2 linked regions of the Arabidopsis thaliana genome follow. The protein of the gene in region 1 interacts with the protein of each later gene in a pairwise test. Each region holds a gene or a part of one and is shown on either strand. Other genes may lie near its edges.

Evidence for each region.
Region 2: the proteins of AT1G03250 (region 1) and AT3G01410 interact in a two-hybrid assay, tested with the Arabidopsis thaliana proteins (one large-scale study listed by BioGRID).

What each region holds. Positions count from the first base shown.
Region 1 is NC_003070.9:792,619-797,296, forward strand, and holds AT1G03250 (R3H domain protein), read right to left. Parts: upstream 2,759-4,678; 5' UTR 2,542-2,758; coding exon 2,484-2,541; intron 2,452-2,483; exon of another isoform or gene 2,352-2,451; coding exon 2,281-2,351; intron 2,033-2,280; coding exon 1,924-2,032; intron 1,793-1,923; coding exon 1,710-1,792; intron 1,581-1,709; coding exon 1,404-1,580; intron 1,313-1,403; coding exon 1,211-1,312; coding exon of another isoform or gene 1,205-1,210; exon of another isoform or gene 1,114-1,204; coding exon 958-1,113; 3' UTR 741-957; downstream 1-740. Other genes in the region: AT1G03240 (uncharacterized protein), read right to left, coding at 136-220; AT1G03260 (SNARE associated Golgi protein family), read right to left, coding at 3,060-3,238, 3,370-3,400, 3,918-4,010, 4,158-4,274, 4,423-4,509.
Region 2 is NC_003074.8:152,659-157,681, forward strand, and holds AT3G01410 (Polynucleotidyl transferase, ribonuclease H-like superfamily protein), read right to left. Parts: upstream 3,000-5,023; 5' UTR 2,782-2,999; coding exon 2,671-2,781; intron 2,580-2,670; coding exon 2,421-2,579; intron 2,243-2,420; coding exon 2,177-2,242; intron 2,044-2,176; coding exon 1,924-2,043; intron 1,836-1,923; coding exon 1,599-1,835; intron 1,502-1,598; coding exon 1,394-1,501; intron 1,205-1,393; coding exon 1,153-1,204; intron 1,024-1,152; coding exon 992-1,023; 3' UTR 685-991; downstream 1-684. Other genes in the region: AT3G01400 (ARM repeat superfamily protein), read left to right, coding at 1-329; AT3G01415 (tubulin-tyrosine ligase), read right to left, coding at 3,638-4,058, 4,144-4,274.

The sequences.
Region 1 (4,678 bases):
TGCGATCAACCAGAATAATTAGATACTAAAGATTAACAAACCATATAAAAAAGACGTTGATTTGGCCGAAAATTCCAACAAGACGTAGATAAAAAAACAAAAAAAAACAGAAACAGAGATAAGGAAAAAAAATACCTTTTGAGAACAAAGTGTTGGAGTCCGCGCAAGTTGATTTGATCTCTTGACGATAGCCTTTGCTTTTTTTGCTTCTGATCGTCATCCCCAAAAAACAAAAATCGACCGTATCTTTTGTTTCATGAATCAAACACTGTAAAATTCACGACTAATATAGGTAGTGCTATCGAATGAATCTCTGAACGTTTTTCTATATGAGAAAAGGAAGAGAGAAAACAAAGAAAGTTTTTCTGATATCAGAAAAGAGAGAGAGAGAAGTCGCTATCGAATGGATCTCTGATGCTGGAGTTATACTTATAAACAATTTTATGTACGTTGAATCAGAAACCCAACATAAAACCTAGAGAAAAAGGAAAACTTGGCTGTGAGAGAGTCGAAATTACCTAAATACCCCATTGCAGAAAAGGAAAACTCGGCCGAGAGAGCCGAAATTACATAAATATCCCCATCGAAAAAAGGAAACACTATTTTTGACCGTTGGAAATTTCGTTAACGTAATAACGCCTAGTGGCTGAGCTGGAACTCCAACTGTTGGGCTTTGTAACTCAAAGGCCTCGACAAGTTAATAACAAAAATATAACTTTAAAGATTCAAAATTCACAATCAGCACTCAATAAAATTTATTGTCTATCTCGTTCTTTAATCATAAAACCGTATAAATTGAGGATACAAATACAAGCTTACAAGAGGCCACATAGGGGGAAGTAGCAAAGGCCAAAGAGAGAGAGAGAGAGTCTTGAGATCTTTTTGCTGCATAAATAGCCCTTTAAATTGGCGCTGATATTCATAAAAAACCACAGCTACAAAGGAGTGTATGTGTTGTTACCAAGCTCCTTCCTTTGACATCCTAAGGAAATGCGCTAGGCTGATGCTTGGTTTCTCCCCTGAATCGCCACTCTTCTTCCATTTGATGCTCGTTGTCTTCATTGCTATCCTTCCTATCTGTTCTGTTGCAGTTGTTGATACCAAATTGTGATACTGCTCCAAAGAAAACAGTTTCTTTTAGGTTGTTACTCTCTATATCTTCATTCAACATCTTAGCAGAAAATAGCGCAAGTGATGTCGTGGCTCATACCTCACAAACACCGTGTAAAAGCAATCTATGGAATGGGTCTTGAACCTTGAGCTCAAGAACATCTCCTTCACCACCTTCCTCGATGAAGTGACTTATACAGCTCTGTGGAAATAATAAACGATTCTGAATTCTAGAAGCAAAGGGTCTATATTTACATGTATGACTTACATTGTCATATCTGAAGAATCTATACCTCATATCCCTCGATTAGTTCTGGTAAAAAGCTACGTCGAAGAGCATCTCTTGTCCTACAATCTATTCTTCTCCAAGCATTTAAGACAGCGATTTTATCACCGTCCACGCTACCTTTCTGCCTTACGGATGACCTATTCAAGGAATCCATGATGTTGGCCTGAAAAAAACACAATTCCTAACAATAGTTAAGACCAAGTATGTCAAACAAATGACATCACTGATTCTACAAACAAATTATATTCAGAGAAATATAGTAACGTGCACTTCTTCTCTGAGAAACAGTCCCAAAAGACATGTAAGTTACCTCCTTGTCCATGTCTATGTTTCTAAATTTGTCCCATTCTCCAACATTAGTCAAAGAAAATGCTGAGGGTGGGACATCATCACCTGTAGAACATTTGTGGACTCAGTGAAACGATGTTATATGTTAACAATAGCAAAAAGACGAAAACATGGCAAAAAAACTCAATTTGAGATTATACAAGAAGAGTAAAACTTTGAATGGAATGTCATATTACCCCACGGTGGTGGAGCAAACAAGCCTCTGATTTCTTGGGCATCCAAACGAGGAACAAGTTCCATCAGAATACGATCATTTAACCATCTCCGAGATCGCCTGTTACTAACCTGCATTAGCAAAAAAAAACTCATTAGCTACAAGTATATCAACCTCAATTATTCATCTCAAGTAAAATCAATCTCATTGTCTTAAATAAGCAACCTTTAGATGAAGAAATACAGGAAAATCACATCTCAAGTATTAATCAGAAAAAAACTGACTAACAGAATCACAATTTTGGCTGTCCGATACGATAGACAACATTTCCCAGAAAATGTAATGAAGAAAATCAAACAAGAGTGAAAAAGGCACTCACTTGTCCGGCCAGGCTCTCAAGGGCCTCAATTTTCTTCTCAAGCGAGAGGCCACGAGAAACACTTGTATCTCCTGCAAGTGAAACCCTAAGAAATTCATTCCCAGGAAACGAAAAAAAAAAGAATTTCTGTTATCAGAAACCCTAATTCCCCTGTACATAAATTTCTCTAAACACGGGCCTATCAAAAATGAACTTCGAATTACCTCTTTGGGGATCAATAAGAAGGCTCTCGTCTCGCCGCATGACATTGGTAGCCGCCATGATTGAACAATTAAATGTGAGGAAATCCGCTGATTTGAACAGAAAACCGAGCCAACGAGACTCTTCTCTTTCAAAGGAAGTCTCTTTCTTTCGCTAATGGATTCGAATTGTAATTGGGGTTACAGACACCACGAAAATGATCGGAGACGAAGGAAGGCAACAATTTTGGGATTCGGAGTTTAGAAAAAAAATGGCAGACGCACACGTATGAAGGCCAAGGAATATGCCCGAATATTGATATTTTCTAACCCGACCTGACTCGACCGATTCAACCGGTCTGATAAGGACTCGAGTCAAATTAATTTCCGGTTAATTATTGTAGCCACCGGTTGGGCATTCTTACAAGTTACAAGATTTCAAAACCTCAAGTATATACCAAAATAATCAACTAAAGAACAAACGAATTAAACTGTGAAGTATGGTATTATGATGCTATACAAAACGTTTCTAATAACTCACTCGGTAAGAAAATTTCGCGAAATTTACAAACTCAAGAGGTTTCTTCTTGTCTATATTATTCAAGTATTGGATGGGTCGATTCTGATAACGAGAGGCTCTTGTAGATCCGGTGGTGGCTCTGCGATCGGGAGTACGGAAGCGTCGTCATTCTTCTTCCCATCTAATTCAGTACCATTCTCAGCCAATGCTTTGTCCAAGGATGATTTCGCCACTCTTGTTATGCATATTATCAGAATTACTGCACCCACATCATTCAAAAACCCAAAAAAAGACGGGTTAAAACACAGACCACATGGTGTCATTCCACTTCTCACAATGTAGTGAAGCTAGCTAGATATATATTTGGACATGACTGCAGAAGAGACTTACCAGCTAGAGCTACGCCAACCATCATAATTACCTGCATCCACAAATGACAATGCAGAAGAAACGAGAAATCAGACTTACAATGCAAGGGCACTCAGATACTTCAATCAAAGCTACAAAATACCAACTAAATAAATGCAGATGCGAGACTATCACAATGTTCTTCCCTACACATAGGATGCTTTGGACTTGGTTATAAATCCTCATCCTCAGGATTTTTAAGCTACATTCTCAATATTTCAGATCCCAGAAATGTCTATCATATTATGGAAAATAAGCAACTCTACATTATATTGAGGGATATACACCAAGATGTTTCCAATAAACCTCATAAAATAAGGCATACTTCAAACTTCATTTCAGACAAGTTGTTATTTTTCTAATACTACAAACTTCTAAACCTAGTAATCTCAGTATAAATGATAAGTGATAAGTAATTATGCATTACAGCAGAAACACAAAACTATCTTCATTCTTCTGACTTCATTCAAGCTCATCTACAATCATTTCCAATCTACTAGTCAAGTGGAAGTAAATGAGCGAAAACTTACCCAACGAAATACTGACACCTCATGCCATCCATGTGTAATATCAGAAAGATCTTTCAGAGTAGTTCCAACATATACTAGCGCAAATGTAATGGGCTGCTACATCAAAACAATTCAGAAGATTAGAATTACTATTATGTATAATGTTAGCAATCAGCACTTTAACATGCATGCTAACTTCTTCCACCATTATTAAAGTATAAATGGCCAATATACAAGCGGATTTTAAAGAAATGTCAGTACCATCATTCCCAACCAAGTGGCCAGCATGTATTCCCCTAAGCGAACAGGAGTTACAGATAGGAGGTAATTCAACATATTGAAGGGCAGTATGGGGACAACGCGTAGCAGCAAGACTATCTGCACAGGAAGAAAATATCATCATTTAGTTAGTAGTCAATCAATTAAATGTAGCCAGGAAATTGAGGTACTTTGCCATACGCATAGTAGATCTCTGAAGGAAAACAAACTGTCAATTATTATAGAGAGTGTTACTAGATTTTCATGCCTTGAAGCCAGATTTTTGAATTGCAACGGAAACAGCTTGAAACTTTGGGTAATGCTTTATTTTTGAAGTGACATAAGATTTACCAATCTGCATGATACCAGAAAGACAAAAGATATATCATTAGCAACAATGAGACAGCCAAGATGCAACACTTAGATAAAATGCCTAGATGTGAGGACGCACAAAACAGGAATCAGTACTTCTGTGGTTATGGCAAGCAACACAATTGCAAGCGAAATATATTAAAACAGATGGA
Region 2 (5,023 bases), on another chromosome or scaffold:
AATCGGCGTTTGTGATGAGTCTGTTAATGTCGGTGCCGGAATCGAAACCGGCGATTGTGGAGGAAGGAGGAGTTCCGGTGCTGGTGGAGATAGTAGAGGTGGGAACACAGAGACAGAAAGAGATGGCTGTGTCGATATTGCTACAGCTTTGTGAGGAGAGTGTTGTGTATAGAACAATGGTGGCTAGAGAAGGAGCGATACCTCCGCTAGTGGCTCTGTCGCAGGCAGGAACAAGTCGAGCTAAGCAAAAGGCTGAGGCGTTGATTGAGCTTCTAAGGCAACCAAGATCCATTAGTAATGGTGGTGCTAGATCATCGTCCCAACTCTGATGTGAGCTTTTCTTATTTATCTTTTTTTACCACACTCTTTCTTCGTCTTTTACTGTTAATGCGAGGGTGTATACAAACAACCAGAAAAAAAAGGGGGGAAAAGGAAACTGTAAATAGTTTGTGTAGAAAATTAGTGGGCTTGTTGTAATTTATCTTGAGTTTGGCTTTTCTTTTCTTTTTGTGATCCATTTCATAAATTTCGGTTTGGTTTTAACAGATTTCTCATTACCAATTTTCCCTCCCATTTTATGAGTAGGGTTTTGAATAACATAAGGGAGACATTCATAATTGAAATTATCGAACTAGAATGCAAGAAAAGTGTTAAAAAGGGAGAGAAACATAGACATGTTCTTGCGAATTTTTAACTTAGAGAACAAGTGACTGAAGTTTTAACAGACTGGGGACAGAGCAAAAGAGAAGTCAGAACATGTTCTACCATGTTCATGTTTATGGTCAACACATAGCATATTCTTAGAAATAGTAATAAACGTATTCTCAGAAATTTTAACTTAGAGAACAAGTGACTGGAAATCTCAACAGTCATGGGGACAGAATAAAAGAGAGAAGAGAACATCGTCATGTTCATGTTTATGCCAAGACACAGCATGTTAAAGACACGATCCCGGAAACACAAAAACAGGAATACACTAAACTAATCTCTTCTAGCCGCCTGAAATCACTTGCGTTTGACCATCTGGATACACATTGACAAAAAAAAAAAAATTGATTGAAGCCTGGTTAGCGATGCGTATGGATTTCTTTCAAGATCCATACACAAAAATCAAACCCATATGTTTTTTTTCAAGAACTTCATCTAACTCACCTGCCAGAAAAATCGCACTGTTAGCTTGTTTATCAGCTTCTGAATTTTTTTCCTGCAAACCGGACAGCTTACAATTAGTGGTCATCTTCATATCAAATGAACTCAAAGATACTTGGTCCTAATTCGCACTAAAACTCTCAAAACCAAACATGATTGGATATCTAATGATTGTTGCGCAGACGGACTACAGAGTTGATCACAAGCAAATCAGCAGCTAGACCAAGCGGGTTTGGTGGCTTACCCTGGCAATGTGTTTGATATCGAATGTTTTAAAACTGTTCATGAGCTCCTTAGCCTGTTTGCACAGCTCAGCCATTTTTGGGTGATTGGTTTTCCATGCACCTTGAACCTGTTCCATTGTCGAATCCAAGTTATCAAAACAATTAAGGCACAAACATGAATAATTCAAACAAGACAAAAGATAAGAGTGAATTTTATATCTGGACCTGCATACAGACAAGCATTGAGTCGCCTAAGACGTGCACATTTTTAAACCCTTTGTCAAGAGCAGACCTCAAACCAAGAAGCAGAGCTCGATACTCTGCAACATTGTTTGTGGCATTGCCAACACCTTCCCGTAAATAGAAGAGGACACTATTATCTGAAGCACGGAGAACAGCTCCTGCACCAGCCTTCCCTGGGTTTCCTTTAGAAGCACCATCAAACTCAATGGTACATGAATCCTGAGGGCGAATGATAGATAAAGGAATTATAAAGATGCAGAAGAAGAAAACAAGCATCTGACTGAATAATTTTGTTGGATGTTATTACATTTTGACGTATAGGTGTCCGAGTTAGGAGACTGGAAGGAATCCGACGAAGCATGTCATTTTCGATCTTAAGCTGCTTCTGCGGAGGACTAGGGGAAAATGAACCCGATTCACCACTTCCCTGAAGATCAGAGGCACAAGAATTTTCATCATTATCTTCAAGAGATTGCAAAACATACAGTTACTAATACATAGCACCAGCAGCAAAGGCAATGAATTATGTCTCTATAACAGAAAAGATTTACAGTTGTTACCATATCTTGCAATCTCTTAGACGGGGAAGATTTGTTGAGAGACTCTCCTTGGGAAGAAGACGGTTGCTGAAATGAAAAATCAAAAGTCAGAACAGAATTTTGAACGTCAACTAAAATAATGTCACAGATTAGACAAGCAACTGAGTAGATGTTCCTGTAAAATATGATATCTGCACTAAGATCACTCTCTATTATTCAGTCGCTCATACAAGAATGTTAGTTAGATCAAGATTGTGTGTCAAACCTGAACAGGACAAGGAATGAGTTTCCCAAAAGCATCATCTTTGACATGACTTGCATTGACAGAAAAAAGAGCGTTCTTAATCCCAAACGAAGATAACAAGTCCTCTGCTCCTTTTGGCCAACCATATCCTTTGTACACACTCATTGCAGGATGTGATACCTGAAACCAAAACAAAACATATGTAAGCCCTAATAATGCAGACATCAACTTCAACAGTGAATAAGATAAAAGGAATAAACAGAGAAATTACAGATGAACCAGCTTGCCCTTGGCATTCGCTCAAGCTTCGATAGACACCAATAATGTCTCCCTTACGCACAATGTAAAACGCATCTTTTTCATCCTCCATTGTGGAACCCATCAACCCTAAAATCCCCCAAATCTTCAGGAATCAACAAAACCCCGAGTTATCAAAATCACAGAACCCTAAAACCTAAGCCAAACGAACAAATACCAAACTAAAACAAGTCCCCAGAAAGCAATTCAACAGAGATCCAGAATCCGAACAGGCAACACGCATCGAGCGAGAGAGAGACGATTTGGTTTTCGAATTTCAAACTTAGTGCTCTTGCGATGCAACAACGGACCACGAGAAAAAATATGTAGATGGGCTTCCGTGTGAAAAAGCCCAATAGAATATTACGGTTTCAACACGAACGAAACTACTTGCCGTTCCATTTCACACAAATAAAACTACTTGCCGTTTAGTGGAAATTACATTAATATATTCACAAGTTATACTCCACTTACACAAAATTCATGAGTAACCTAGAATTTCCAATTATATTTTAGCAGCCTGAATATTGATCTCTCTATATATATATTAAGAATTATTAGTTATGGATTATTAGTTAAGTATTTACTCCTAAGTTAAGCTCTATACTTGAGTTGTAGTCAATATATAAGGCAGATAGATTTGTAACTTAAACCCCAAGAACACGATTTATACGAATCAAGTTTTCTTGACATTAATAATGAAACAAGTACTTAAGTACTGTAGTAGGAAAATAAAAAACCACATATAGCTATTTTATAACAAGGTCTTAAACTCTTAATAATTCTCCTTAACAACTGAGCCCTTCACAGTATGAAAGATTTGTTTGTTATTCACGAAGGAAAACAGTGTTCTTGGTGTTTACAGTTTGTAAAAATATTGGAAGCCATCTTAATTATTATAGATATATGTCACTCATATCATGTTGGGAATCATGCCTGATCTAGTTGTCATCCAAAGGATCAACCAACATGTAGATGATAAATAAGGTTATAGGAAAACATAAAAGGGTTCCAATAAAGTAGGACCATGAGGATGTGCCTAACCAACCGAGGATTGCAAACAGAGCTCCTAAGTAAGTGGTGGACAGAGTATGTGTAACTGTAAAATCTTTTATTGGACAAGAGAGTTGCACGATCGAAATCCCCGCTAGTATAAGACACACGCCAATTATGGACCCCTCTACTCTGCTCATTACGCCTTGGACATTATACGAGATGCAATACATAAGTATCATCACGGCCAAGAAGAAGAATGCCCGCCCCTCCGGTCCTAGTTGATATCTTGGGACTAGAACATCTTTGCACAAGCACCAAATTACCATACCAATGTATGGAATATTCGCAGCCCTCAGAGTTGTGTATCTGGCCATGATGAGACATAATACAATTAAAAATCATCCAAATAACTACTTCAAATCAAATCTATATACAACAAGAATTTCCTTACACGTATACGGGCATATAGCTAGGGGGTTCAATGTCTAAGAGGATTTGTAATGATACTCTCAAGGCAATGAAATAGTATAATCCACGACTATAAAGACAAATCACTTCTTTGACTCTCTTTTCACCTTTCATTTTTTTTGTGATTAGTTAATTAAGACGAGGAGCACAATACTACAAAGAAGACTCAAACTATAAATGTTATATGTCTAGAATGTATATTGGTTTTATTTTATACTAAATCAAAGGTGATAAAGAGAGATTTGATCAAATCTGTATCCAATCAAAATTTGATAAATTTTTACCAATTTAACACATTTTCTAACTTAAACTCTATAAATCTATACATAATTAAGTATATAATTACTATCCAACTCACTATTTAACAAAATTGATAAAATATAAAGGAATGATTAATATCAAATACATACATATATAGACATTTTTTATTAATAAAAACCATTAAAACCTTGACACATCAGTATTTATCTTCTTTTATACAAAATTTAATCTGTATCCAATCAAAATGTGATAATTTGTTTTTACCAATTTAACACATTTTTTGTAACTTAAACTCTATAAATATTCATAATTATTTAATTACTATCCAACTCACTATTTAACAAAATGGATAAAATAAAATTAATGATTTTACATCAAATACATACCTATATAGACATTATTATAAATAAAAAACCTATTAAAACCATGAAAAATCAATATTTATCTTATTTTATTCAAAATGTAATCTGTATCCCATCAAAATTTGATAATTGTTTACCAATTTAACACGTTTTCTAACTTAAACTCTATAAATATATATAATTATTTACTTACTATCAAACTCACTATTTAACAAAATTGATAAAATAAAATTTAATTTA